3 linked regions of the Canis lupus familiaris genome follow. The protein of the gene in region 1 purifies or fractionates together with the protein of each later gene. This does not show direct contact. Links are inferred from orthologs where the notes say so. Each region holds a gene or a part of one and is shown on either strand. Other genes may lie near its edges.

The links. The genes of interacting proteins can lie anywhere in the genome.
Region 2: the proteins of ETAA1 (region 1) and ATR purify together in Homo sapiens (affinity purification with western blotting; 3 studies listed by BioGRID, with this or other methods). This does not show direct contact. The link is inferred for Canis lupus familiaris from reciprocal best matches to the Homo sapiens genes ETAA1 and ATR.
Region 3: the proteins of ETAA1 (region 1) and RPA2 purify together in Homo sapiens (affinity purification with western blotting; 4 studies listed by BioGRID, with this or other methods). This does not show direct contact. The link is inferred for Canis lupus familiaris from reciprocal best matches to the Homo sapiens genes ETAA1 and RPA2.

What each region holds. Positions count from the first base shown.
Region 1 is NC_049231.1:67,924,664-67,929,317, forward strand, and holds the start of ETAA1 (ewing's tumor-associated antigen 1), read left to right. Parts: upstream 1-1,747; 5' UTR 1,748-1,882; coding exon 1,883-2,084; intron 2,085-2,301; exon of another isoform or gene 2,302-2,391; intron 2,392-3,380; coding exon 3,381-3,509; intron 3,510-3,777; coding exon 3,778-3,854; intron 3,855-4,654. UniProt on the Homo sapiens protein: Replication stress response protein that accumulates at DNA damage sites and promotes replication fork progression and integrity.
Region 2 is NC_049244.1:38,756,088-38,760,642, forward strand, and holds the start of ATR (serine/threonine-protein kinase ATR), read right to left. Parts: upstream 2,938-4,555; 5' UTR 2,861-2,937; coding exon 2,802-2,860; intron 1-2,801. UniProt on the Homo sapiens protein: Serine/threonine protein kinase which activates checkpoint signaling upon genotoxic stresses such as ionizing radiation (IR), ultraviolet light (UV), or DNA replication stalling, thereby acting as a DNA damage sensor.
Region 3 is NC_049223.1:71,856,151-71,860,623, forward strand, and holds the start of RPA2 (replication protein A 32 kDa subunit), read left to right. Parts: upstream 1-1,536; 5' UTR 1,537-1,718; coding exon 1,719-1,728; intron 1,729-1,964; coding exon 1,965-2,071; intron 2,072-3,314; exon of another isoform or gene 3,315-3,421; coding exon of another isoform or gene 3,422-3,561; intron 3,562-4,473. UniProt on the Homo sapiens protein: As part of the heterotrimeric replication protein A complex (RPA/RP-A), binds and stabilizes single-stranded DNA intermediates that form during DNA replication or upon DNA stress.

The DNA.
Region 1 (4,654 bases):
GTCCATGCATTTCCATTGGTTGTAGTCCTTGGAGTGAGATTGCTAGACCAAAAACTGTTTTCCAAAATTGTACCAAGTTATTCTCACCAGCAGTATGTGACCATTCCCACTGGTTGTGCCCTCAGGCGCTGGATCCCCACAGGCGACAATCAAGGTATTGGCTGGGGCTGTGATATCATCTCTGGTTCCCTTCCTTGATACCTCTATTGTCACTCATGATTTTAGCCATTCTGATGGGTGAATATTGCATTATGGTTTTAACTTTCATTTTCCTCATTACAAATAAAGTTGAGCACCCTTAAACAAGCTTGTTGATCATTGAGATTTTCTTTTGGAGAGCCTCCTAAAAAAGTATCTGACCCACTTTTCTTATTGGTGGTCAATCATTTTCTTAGCATTTGTATCCGTCTTTCATATATTTTGCATATTAGCCCTCATTTGGCATCTGGTAAATATCTTTTTCCAGTCTGTGTCTTGCCTTCCATTCTCTAACGCTGTCTTTGCAATAGACCTAAGTTCTTCAGTTATCAGTCTAATGTAGTCAAATAGGTAATTATTTTCTTCCACGTTAATGACATTGCTGTTCAATTTAAAAATCAGTCCTGTCGTTGACAATTTATATCATCTCTTAGAATGTTATTTTATCTTTTACAATTAAATATACAATCAACTTGCACATGATTTGATTTGGGGTACGGTTTAGCGTAGAGGTTAAGTTTCTTTCTTTTCCTCCATGCGAATATCAAATCGACCAAGCACTATTTGTTATCAAGAACTCCTTTTCCCACTGCTTAAGAGTATCATCCTTGCCTTAAATCAACTGTCCACGTATGCAGAGGTCTGTTTCTGAGCCATCTAGTTTCTTTCGTGATTGCCTATCCTTTTAACCGGTCGCCCCAGTGTCTTAATCAGCATGACTTTATAGATCTTGATGTGTGGTACATATCCAACTTTACTATTCCTCAAGAGATCTTCAAACGTTTCTTGGATATTTTTGGTGCTTTGCATGTCCATATACATTTTAAAATAAACCTGCAGGTGGGCAGCCGGGTGGCTCAGTCAGTTAAGTGTCTGCTTTTATCTCAGGTCATGACCCCGGGGTCACAGTTTCGAGTCCTCCATCAGGCTCCCCGCATGGAGCTTGCTTCTCCCTCTGCCTGGGTCTCTGCCTCTCAGTGAGTGTCTTGCACTAATAAATAAATAAAATCTTTTTTCCCCCCCGCCCGGCCATTAATAAAATCTTAAAAAAAAAAAAAAAAAAGTGCTGTGTTTGTTCCGGGTATGTTCAAACACAACCAGCCTTTGAATATTTAGCTCCCATCTGCAAGTCCGTTACATTGATTTATAGATTTAATAGCTTCTATACTTTTTGGAGTTTTTTTTTTTCCTATGCATACATCATCTATGAAAAAAAAAATAGCTTAGTGTTTCCTTCCTAATCTAGATCTTTCTTTCTTTAAAATACTAAAAGCCACAATTCTGTACATCTGAGCAACGCGTGACTGCAGCCCTAGGTTCAGCACAAAGCTGCCTGCCAGGGGACCGACTCCTGTTCCACCTGCCGCACTCGCTGAGCCAAGAGCGGCCCCGCGCACGCGCCCTGACAACCACGTCCAGCCACCTGCAGCCCGGCCGAGGCCCCGCCCCTCGCCCCGCCCCCCGGCCTCGGAGGCGGGAGGCGGAAGCGCGCGCCGCCGGCACCCCCCGTCGCCCCGCCCCCTCGCCCGCACGCAGCCAATCAGCGGCCGCCCCTGTCGAGCGTCCCGTCGGCCAAAATGGCGGCGGCCGTTGGCGCCGAGTCCCGTGTGTAGCTCCGCCGCCTCGCTCCTCCCGTTGCAAAATGTGAACCGGAGAGGCGGCGGCTGGAGGGGGGCGGCAGGCAATGAGTCGGCGAAGGAAACATGGGGACAGCCTTGGCCTGAAGAACACGCCGCTCAAGGCGGCGGCGGCCGCGGCCGAGGAAGGCAGCTCGGTGGCCGAGCCGGGGAAGAGGCGGCTGAGGTCGGCAGAGCCGCGTCCCCGGCCCGCGCGGCAACGGGAGCAGCCTCCGGCGGCCGCTTCGTGCAGTAAAAGTAACCCCGAGGGTGAGACGTCGGCCCCGCGGCCTCCCCGCGCTCCCGGCGCCGCTCGCAGTGCGCAGACCCGGGGCGGGGGGCGGGGGGAGCCTCCGGAGGGAGCCGCCGCCGCGACCCCCAGGCTTGAGCCGCGCGGTGCGGCGCCGTGCACGGGGCCGGGCGGGGGCGGGGGGCGGCGCACCCCAGCGGGACCCGCGCGCGCGGAGCTCGGCGGTGAGGAACTCACCGGAAGTCCCCGCGTCTGACGTCACCGCGCGGACGCCTGGGGTGGTGTCACCCCGAGGACGCCGTGGTGACGTCACCCCGAGGACGCCCCGTGTCACGTCACCCCAGGACGCCCGTGGTGACGTCACCCCGAGGAACGCCGGGGCCCCTGCCGAGCCCTTTCGTCCCAGGCAATCTTTGGCGTTCCGTCTTTTTTCTTTTTCCTTTTTTTTTTTCTTTTTTTGTAAGATTCTACTTATTTATTCATTAGAGACACAGAGACAGGCAGAGACCCAGGCAGAGGGAGAAGCAGGCTCCACGCAGGGAGCCCGACGGGGGACTCGATCCCGGGACCCGGGGTCACGCCCTGGGTCGGAGGCAGGCGCCAACCCGATGAGCACCCCCCTGCCCGCCCGCCCTTGTTGTGTCTTTTGTAGGATCTTATGACACTGTGACCCCCGCCCCCCCAAAAGCGCTTCCTTTAAAGCGTGTTCTCAAAAACGCGACCTACGTTCCCATCTGTTCAATGGGCTCGCGCGCAAGGCAGTTCTGGAATGAACAAGACACCAGCGTTTGTGGGAATTTGAAAGTGGTGCTAAGAATTTCCCAGGAAATGGGAAATTAAATAATTTAAGCTGCTTTGCTTTTTTTTTTTTTTTTTTTTTTTGGAAGTAATTAGTGTAAGTCGGATAGAGGTGGTGATGAAAGGGGGCTAAACAGACTTCTAATGTAGTTTTCCGCCGGGAGCCTTTTGATGTTTGTAAGATGCCAGCCATAAATGACAGGCGGTTCCCAAAGCCGCCAGGTTCCGGTTGTAATGAACGGAACGCCTTGGCTTCTGGACGTTGGTAGGGCTACTTACTGGGTTATCCCAAGACACTTGCTGTTTACGATGTCAGATTTGTGAAGCATCACGAGGATTCTCAGGTGAAACCTTTCAGTCGTTAATATACTCCTGTCTGGGAGGAAATTATATAATTGGGCTATTAAAAAAAAATGGTCTAAAGGATATCTGACGTTGGGGTATTAGGAAGTAAAGTAACGCTTAACAACGCAACGATTGTTTTGTTTGTTTTGTTTTTTTAATCTTATTTTATGTAGAAAGATATGAAACCCCAAAGAGAGTGCCGAGAATGGATTTACTGTCCTCTACCTTCAGTTCCCCTAATGATCCAGACGGACAGAATGATATCTTTTGGGATCAGAATTCTCCAATGACGAAACAGTTAGGTAATTTATTACTAATTAACATTTTCCATCTGGGTAAATATTTGGCAAGGGGGTGAGGATTTGACTCTAGGATTTCAGCAGGGTAATAACAGGACTTTCATACAACAGATGTCTTGAGAATCTTGGGTGATGGTTATGATAGGCCTGTGGTATCAGTGCACAGCGGGTCCAAGCCCGTGCCAATTAAAATTGTTTTCTAAGAAGTGTCTGCTACTTTTAAAGACTAATCTTTTTGTTTCCCGCTTAGAGAAATGTCTTTGTTCTTTAGGTAAAGGAAGAAAAAAACAGATTTACACCGCAGATAGTGATGAGATCTCACATATCGTTAATCGTATTGCTCCTCAGGTAAATATCGCTAGTTTCCTACCTTGTTCTAAAACTGAAAACTATGCCACTAGGCCCACGTGTAGTTCGCTTGGATGAGAAATGCTTCGTCTTTTACGATTCTCTTTTCTGAAAACAGAGCAGCAAAGGTTCTACCCTTTGTACTACTGGAATGTACGTCTTGAAAAAAGGGACATGATGTATAATTGGCAATATATATTTTCCTAAGTATGTGTCTTTTGTTAATTTTTTTTTTAGAGTAGTGATTTTCGACTAGAAGTTTGTGCTAATTTTGTTCTTAATGTTGTTTGACAATATATGGCATCATTTTTACAGTTACTAGAATAATACAGTCAGACATTAAAATTTAAGCTTTTTAAAGTTATTTGTGATTGGTATTTGCTGTCTATAGCACACTCTTTCCCAATTGAAATTGTTCTTAATACTTGAGAAATGCTCATAAAAGTGGAAAGAACACTGGATCGAAGTTAGTTCTGTCTACTTCCTGTACTGGGTGACCATAAGCAAGTCACTTAAACTCTCAGAACTTTAGTTCATTCAGCCATAAACTAGAATTATTACTTGGCTTGCTCTCTCCATTGGACTATTATGAGGATTAAATTAGATAAAAATTCTTGATAAACATAGAGCACTATAAATGTGAGGTTATTTTAAAGTTCATTATGATAGCTAAATTATTTGCTGTCATAGAACATTCTCAAAAGTTCCTTTTTCTTTATTTCAGTTCCTCTACTGCTTGAATGAAATAGGAATATAAATGTAATGCAGCTTCTGTTCTGAACCTCTTTACTGTCCTCTCT
Region 2 (4,555 bases), on another chromosome or scaffold:
GATTGTCAGGACTTGCTGATAAGATTTTTTGGGTATAAGAGAAAGAATCAAGAATTCCGGCTAGCGGTTTAGCGCCACCTTCAGCCCCGGGTGTGATCCTGAAGACAGGGGATCAGAGTCCGGGATCAGAGTCCCCCATCAGGCTCCCTGCACGGAGTCTGCTTCAGCCTCTGCCTGTGTCTGTCTGTCTCTGTGTCGTGAATAAATAAATAAAATAAAATAAATAAAAATTCCTGGGTTTTTGGTTGGCACATTTACAATAACCTGGGGCAGGAACCAAGTTTAAGAACATAAATCAAGATGTAATGATGTAAATTTTCATTTCAGGTACAGATGTTCAACAGTAAGCAACCTAATATCTCTGGGTAGATAAATATTTGGGAGTTATCAGAATATAAGTGATATTTAAAGCCATGGGACTACATGAAGTTACTTAGGAAGAGAGTAAAGATGAAAAGAGGACAAAGGATGTAGCAAAGTCACATGGGGAATCAAGAATGATTCCTACATTTCTGGTTTGGAAAACAGAGTGACCATGGTATCACTTACTGAGATGTCCCTACCTCAGTGAATGAGAGGGAAAAAAAAAAAAGGGAGGTTAGGATACGTGAAGAAATTGTATTGACTATGTTGAGTCTTACACTTACCAACTAAGCCACCCAGGTGCCCAGCTATGTTGTCTTAATGGCATATAGGACACCCAGCTAAAACTGCCAGTATACAGTTGTATAAATATCCTATAGGAGGACACCTGGGTGGTTCAGCGGTTTAGCACCTGCCTTCGGCCCAGGGCATGATCCTGGAGTCCTGGGAACAAGTCCCTCATCTGGCTCCCTGCATGGAGCCTGCTTCTCCCTCTGCCTGTGTCTCTGCCTCTTTCTCTCTTTGTGTCTCTCATGAACAAATAAAATCTTCAAAAAAAAAATATTCTATAGGAAATGGATATGGTTTGGAGAAACATATTTGCAGTCATTAAATGGCAGATAGTAGTTAAAGACAGTGGATGGGATCACCCTGAAAGACTAGGCAGAGAAAAGAGTGCTCATAGCAAAAAACAGAAGCAAAATTCATCTCTGAGACAGAGCCGCCCACACATTAGAACAGTTAACATCTCACTTTTTTCAGAAATTGAATTGCCAGTCAATTAATGAGAAAAAAAGATGGGGGTGGAGAAAAGGCTTTGATTGCATGAATCTGGAACCCAACTCTGATAATGGCTACCTCTGACTTTGGTTCTTCAATTCCTGTGACTCAGTTTCTTACTGAATAGTGATAATATGTACTCTATTCTACATCATGGAGATACTGTGAGACTGAATAGGCAGGAATGAAGCAATTAAAATGAGAAACTCACGACTGTTAAAGAAAAGTAACGTAAGCTCCGGTGATGTAAGAGACTATAAATAAATCCAAGATACTATTATTTTTATTAACAACTCTCATTATGGAAAAAAAAAAAAAGAGGGTAGAAAGGCATTAGTTAATTCTACATGAAAACAAAATAGGAAAAAAAAAATATTGAGCTTCACATTGAGCCTCAAAAATGAAATCTGTACTTCAATGTCCTAAAACGAGCGCTTGTATTCATGTTAGTTTATAAAATGTTAACACAAAGTAGGCTTGCAACATTCATGCAAAGCGGGGAAAAAAAAAAAAAAAAACACAAAAACAGGATGATTCGGTAAAAACAAGAGTGGTTTCTTCATTTACCCTCTTATTTATGTGATCGAAGAAGACTAAATATTCTTGTATGGCCAACAAGTGGAGATGAATACATCTGCACCCCAAAAAGAAAGGAATTAAATACCCCACAGATTTTCTGTTAGCTCTGACTTTGTGTGCTAAGTTTTCAAAAAGCAATTACTCCAACTGATAGGTCAACTGCACTAGTGGTACAAACCCACTTATTTCTTCTTCGCAATGGGTTAAAACTCAAAAAAAAAAAAAAAAAAAAAGGCAAGCAAAATAAAAACCCTCCCTCCTTTAGGCCTGGTTGAGGGAAAGTTGCCAGTGTGCTGAAGGGGGGATGGCAGCCAGCCAGCAACAGCCTTCCCCTCTCTTCAGGTGGGACGGTGGTTTACGTGATTTTACTGTTCCGTTTACAGAAGGCGGGCTTTTGCAAATGAAACAGTATTGAATTATTTTTAAACTCTGGCAACATCTTGTGCACATTTACATTTTGGGGACGTCGTGGCAGATCCCTGGGATTTCTGACTAAAATAAACGGACTGGGCGCTGGATGACCAACAGGAAACGGGGCCCATCTTCAGGACGGCCTATGCTTTCATTTTGAAGAAGACCAAACTGCCTTTTCTAGCAATTGGCCTTCCTTCCACACCACACGAACCAGTGATTCTTTTCTTGTCAAAGAGGGGCAGTTTGGGTCAACACGTAAAGCTAAGAACCCAATTCCTCCACGAGCGATCACAAGGAGTAGAAAATGGGGCAAGTTCCTGGGTCGAGTCCCTCACCTAAGGAAAGAGGTCTGCAGGAAGCGAGCGGTCAGAAGGGGCGGGGGGGCAAGGCTCCCGGGCGCCGCTGAGGTACAGTGGGCTCGGCGAACAGCCCCTCTCGGGCCCTAGACCTGCTTCCCCAACGTCTGCGGCGACGCCCGCGTATTTTTAACCCCGTCTCGGGGGGAGACGTGCTCAAGCCATTGGCGAGACACACCGCCCGGGGCCGGGGTTGAAGGTTTCGGAGCCGGCACGCGCGCGGCTGGGGAGGGAGCGCACGTGAGAGGCCGGCCGGGCCGGGCCGGGCGGAGGAGACGCGGCACCCGGAGCGGCCGGGCCTGGCCCTACCTGCCCAACTCCCGCAGAGCGGGGATCATAGACGCCAGCTCCAGGCCGTGGTCGCCCATGCTGAGGATGCGCGGCCCTCGTCAACCGCGCGGCCGCTGCCTCCCGGCGTCTCCACAGCTACCTCGGGGCTGGGGGGAGGGGAGGGGCAGGCGCGGCGCCCGACGGTGTCTCGCCAGGCCCAAAACTCCTCCCGGAAGCCGCGTTCAGTCACGCTCTGCGGACCGGAATTCTTCTTCCGCGTAGGACCCGGGGGAGGCCGGGGGGCCGGCAAGGGGGCGGGGCCAAGGAGGCGGAGCGCGCAGGGGGCACGTTCCCAGCGCGGCTCCCGCTGGGGGCGTGGTTCGCGGCGAGTTTGGGGTGTTCGCGGGCACCCCGGGCTGCCCCCGTCCTAGGAGGCTCGGCGAGGCGAGACCTCCCCCGGGTTCTGGAAAAGAAACAGACCGGCCTCCCTCGCATCACGAAAGGGAGAATTGAGACCCTCCGGCGGGTGGAAGGCGTGACTCGATCCCGGGCCCCCCCACCCCTCGCCGCGCGTCCTTTTAGCGGGATACGGGGCTCCTCCCTGTCCTTCCTGTTTCGGCAGGGTGTTTTTCCCACGTGAAGTCAGACTTTCTTGAGGCTATTCCCGACTTTTAATATTTAAGAAGGGGTTTCGGGGATCCCCTGGGTGGCGCAGCGGTTTAGCGACGCCTTCAGCCCAGGGCGTGATCCTGGAGACCCGGGATCGAGTCCTGCATCAGGGTCCCTGCTTGGAGCCTGCTTCTCCCTCTGCCTGTGTCTCTGCCCCTCTCTCTCTCTCACTGTGTCTTTCATGAATAAGTAAATAAAATCTTAAAAAAAAAAAAAATTTAAGAAGGGATTTCGGGGATGCCCGGGTGTCTCAGCAGTTTAGCGCCGCCTTCAGCCCAGGGCCTGATCCTGGAGACCCGACCTGAGCCAAATCCAAGAGTCCCACGCCCAAACAGCTGTGCCACCCAGGTGCCAGCTTTTTTAAAGCTTAGATTAGATTGCACATATGAAAAAGTCGACCAACGAAAAAGCAACAGATGTTAGGTATTTTTAGATGATAGGAAGAAAGATTATAAAAACTACAATGTTATGTGGAAGGCAAAAACTAAAATAACACTGGAATTCTGAAAGGCAGTATACATTAGAAACATTGGAAACAATAGAGCTTTGGCAATCCAATTTTATTCAAAAAGTTATTTTTATGCAAGATTTTTTTGGGGGGGTACTTCTGTGACACAAAGATGAGGATGATGAAGTCTCAAGTAGTGTGCAAACTGGATATAGAAGGACATCATAGGAATTCAGAAATTGAAAAGCAAAGCAGAATCTGATGAATGCCATGAGAGAGATAAACATGCATTGGAAAAATATAAGAGGAAGAGATTAAATATACTGTGTGGAGAGGAGGTGGATGAGGAAGGGGCTCCAGGAGAATGAGGCACCACATTCTCCTGGAGATGGATGGGATGAGAATGAGATGGGATGGTGAAGGATGAGGATATGAAAAGACAAAGATTGGAGAAGAGGAATATATTTCTAATTAGAGGCAGCAGTATGAACAAAAAGCATATGGAGGGAGAGACTAGTGGTCCAGTTCAGGTGATATTAGGGAGCATTTCGAGTAGTCCCGCTGAGACCCTTGTACAAACCTCAGTAAGCACTGAAGAGGCACTGGAAGATTTGATATAAAGTGACAGTCAAAGCCACACTCAGATCTGGCGGGAGGGTGCAGGTCAGAACAAAAG
Region 3 (4,473 bases), on another chromosome or scaffold:
TTTATAACTAATCGAACCCCAAATGAACCCAATTACCCCGAGCAAATCCACATCTTAGATTTCCCAGAATCCTCTTAATTTCAAACATTTTATCCTATATATCATAAATATGCTCTTATTTGTTACACTGTGTAAATTTCAGTCACCTTACCCTGAATATAACAACGTCCTCATGTTTGCCTCAGGTTTCTGTCCTTGGCTGTATCTCGATTTGGAGGTTTACAGAATTTCCATAGGTAAGGGGTGGCAGGCAGGCTATGTCTGGCCCACAGATACCTTTTCTCTGGCCCACATGGTGTTTTTAAATTTTTAAATTTACCCGCACTTAAAATTCAGAACTTTTTAGACAAAAATCAAAATTTCTGGCGTCTGCTAAAAATATAGATAGATGACACCACTGAGACCATATTCCTTGTCAGTTGCTATTCGTCCTTATTTTGTGTGGTTATTTTTGTCACTGTGGAGGAAAAAAAAGTAAAAAAATAAATAAATAAAATCCCCTCTATTATCCAACCTACTACATTTACAGTTTTCCTGCCTGACTCACATGTCAACTTGAGTTTGTGCCCCAATTCTAGAATGTTCAGGAAGGTACAGCGACTACACTGGTGGATGCAATCAGACCACTTAGCATCTCGTTGCCTCGGCTGCCTCCTTTGTTAAAACCGAGACCGTAGCGGCATCCACTTCACTGGATTGAGTTGCTAAATGTGAAGTATTTAAGACAGTGGCTGCAGTTTTAGAAAAATAAAATGGCCCAGAAACCCAGGGACCGTACCTATCTCATTCACTGTTGAATCCCACTGACCAGCACATAACTTGGAACAAAAGAGGCAGCAATACATACTTTTTACCAAAATAAGTGAGGCATGAGGGAGCCTAACAATCTAGCGAAGGAGCTGACCGACGTGCTCTCTCTACAGGAGGGACAGAACACTGCTACGTGAAGGATGGTTTAAACAATCGGGGAGGCAGAGGGGACAGGAGGTGGGCAGGGGCGTCCTGGGGGAGAGGTGTATGTTACTGCAGCCTCGCCGGGGAAAATCAGGACGAGGGAATGCCAACAAACGAAGACAACCTGGCTTTTTGTTTTGTTCTGTTTTGGTTTTTTGCTAATGAACTAGCAATCCCACCACGTGCCTCGCAGACAGCGTGGCGAGGTCACCGAGTGCGCAAGCGCCGCACGATGACGAGGCGGAGTCGCCGAAGCAAGAATTTTGCGGGGCGGGGTGCTGTGTTGATTAAGGCGTCATCTGATTGGTGACAGTTTGGCGGGAAAAGGAAGACGCCGAACAAAGGAAGTGACGTAAAGTGTCGTTCACGGGGGGGAGGGGGGATTATACGGCCGGAGATTCGTAATTGTCATTTTGATTGGTTGTTACTTTGAGAAACGGCCCTATCAGCCTCTCGCCGCTCCTTGCTTCCGCTTACGCAACTTGTTTTGCCCTTAGTAAAAATGGCCGTAGAGGTTTCCGGCCCCATCGGAAACAGAGTGCGCGTTTTCTTGAGACAGGAAAAAGCGTAGAGTTCGTGAGCATTGATTGGCTGAAGCCAGAAGCGTCCTGGACGCTGATTGGCTCCGTCGTTCGCGGGAAGGAGTTTGTGGCACCAGCGGGAAGTGCGCTTAGCACTGCGGCCGCAACAGGGTTCTGAGGAGTCCGGCGAGCCCACCTGACGGGAGTGTCGCGGACCTCTTTCCTGAGGGAATAGTGACCAAGATGTGGTTCGGTAAGCATGAGAGTCGCGAGGAGGATAGAGCGAGAGGGCGGGGGTCGGAGAGAGGCGCGCGGCGGTGGGAGTGGAGGAGGCACAGGGTGGCGAAGGGGCGGGGGGCCGGGGCACGGCGGTGGGACAGGTTAGCGCGGTGCTGGGGGTGCTTGGCGGTGGGGGGAGTCTGAGGGGGCCTGGTGTTGTCGAGAGGCTCGGGAAGCAGCGCGGGCACTAATACTGCCGTTTCAAACCAGGCGGATCTGAGAGCTACGGCAACTCCGCCTTTAGCGGAGCCGGCGGCTACACGCAGTCCCCGGGGGGCTTTGGATCGCCGACACCTTCGCAGGCTGAAAAGAAATCAGTAGGTTGAAAGAGTATTTCGTTTTCTTTCTTTCTGTCTTGAAGCTCCTAACACCCCTGGGAGAAACTTGATGCGGCGAAAGATTCCAAACCTGAACTGGTTGGATAATTAGCAATTCTTGCCTTACCGAATCTTAGAATTAAGTGCTGGAAGTTTTTGAAAAAATAAACTTTCTCCTACATTCACTTCCACTGTTGAATCGGCTTTATTTTGAAATTTACCAATGTAGCTAATGAATCAGTCTTGTGGAAAAACTGGACTTGTATTAGCCTACTTTGCATTCTTCATGTAATCGATTTTTTTTTTTTTTTTAAAGCAAAGCGGTAGAAGTATTAAGCAGAAACACGGAGAAAGCTCTCAGAAGTGAGAGGGGTCCCGACAGGGTTGCCCTAATTTTTTTTTTTTTTAATTAAACGTAATGAAGTGATAAAAAGCTGTGGAAAGAGCATGTTCTTGGATAGATCTATGTGCTACCATTGCTCCAACACTATTTACAGGGTTTTATTGGACAGATTTCTTAACATTGGGAATCAGATGGGATTGCTACTAAATGGGATTAATAATACATACCTTACAGGTTGTTGTGAGACTTAATATTCTAGTTTATGGTATATATAAAGTGCCTGCCCTGTAGTCACTTTGAATAAATGGTCCCAGATTTCTTTTTTCTTTTTTTTTTTTTAAGTTTTTATTTAAGGAATTTCTACACCCAACGTGGGACTCAAACTCAGTGATAGAGGCCATAGATTGAGTCACATTCTTTTCTGACTGAGCCAGCCAGGCACCCCTGATCCCACATATTTTAGTTAAAAAGAACACAAGTGTTGGACCCAGAATACATAGTGTCCAGAATCACCTTCTCACTGGCAGTATCTTTAGTGGCACAACTTGAACCTTGTGACCCTTGGTATTTCTCATCTGATACTGGTACTAGTACTACTTAAATCACAGGGTGGTTCTGAGAATTAATAAATAAGGTAATGTATGGGGAAACAATCTGTAAAAAGATGTCCAGATTCTTGTTATTTACCCTTTCAGAAATGAGTTTACATTTCACAACTACTGTTGATTTCATCCTTTAAATGCAAGGTTGATTTGGCTACTCTGTTAGGTGTCCTTCAGATGTGGTGTTAAGATTCAGTATTAGCAGGTTCTATGGTTTTTATACAGATTGAAAAGCTTTTACCTAAACCGTTAATTCAGGAGTGTATGTCGGTGGGAAAGAATTCATTGATAATTCCCATACATTTGGGCGTTGCTTTATATTTTTCATACAATTTCATATAATCATTCCATAAGGTATTGTTTACTTCCTTATACAACAGAGGCTCTGGGAGATGGAGGGACTGCCTAAGCTTCTATAGCTAGTAAGTAAGTGGGACTAGATAGTACACACGGGACACAAATCCAAAATCTGGTGAGCAGCTTCTCTATTGCAGTTTTCTTTTTCCCAGGAAGACCAGAGGGGACTCTCGTACTCTTTGTCTTCCCTAAGGTTGTGAAGGAGAAAGCAAAAATTAGACCATTGGTTTTCATCTTTCTAAGCTTGACTGTTTTCTTCATTCTAGTTGATAGAATTTTTCTCTCAGATCCCTAACTTGGATTGTGTATTAAGACAGCTTTTCAGAGAGTGATGATGGTTATAAGCTGGAAATTCAAACCAAGGGATCCCTGGGTGGCGCAGCAGTTTGGCGCCTGCCTTTGGCCCAGGGCGCGATCCTGGAGACCCAGGATCGAATCCCACATCGGGCTCCCGGTGCATGGAGCCTGCTTCTCCCTCTGCCTGTGTCTCTGCCTCTCTCTCTCTGTGACTATCATAAATAAATAAAAAAAATTTAAAAAAAAAAAAAAAAAAGGAAATTCAAACCAAGATCTTTATGTTTTTAAATCTAGTGCCTTTTCCACAGTAAATTAGATAAACACCCTATCTAATTTCCTATCTACTGTAAACCTGTTACATTTTATTGAACCATGTGAAATTTTCAGTACTGACCACTTTTTACCCATAAAAATGGTGTTTTCATACAGTGCTGTCAGAGTAACCTGTGATTCATAGCTAGAAAATAATTTTTAAGTTAAATATTCTTATCCTGGCACACTCTCTGTGAATCTCTTGGAACAAACCAGGGACTCCTTGCAATCATAATAGGTGCTTGTTAAAAAACAAGTGTCTGTGATTTGAGATAAATTTGAAGGTATAGGTAACACCTCAGGCATTACCCATACGTAATTTTTTTAACTGAGGAATGATAATGTTTGTTGAATACATAATACACGTAGAAATCAGCATTAGTATTTTTATATACATTGTATGTTTTGTTTAGAATTTGAAAGGTGGATGTCCACTGGACAGAATTGGTGGTGGCATGTCCAGGGCTATGGAGCTGGGATTGAACACAGGT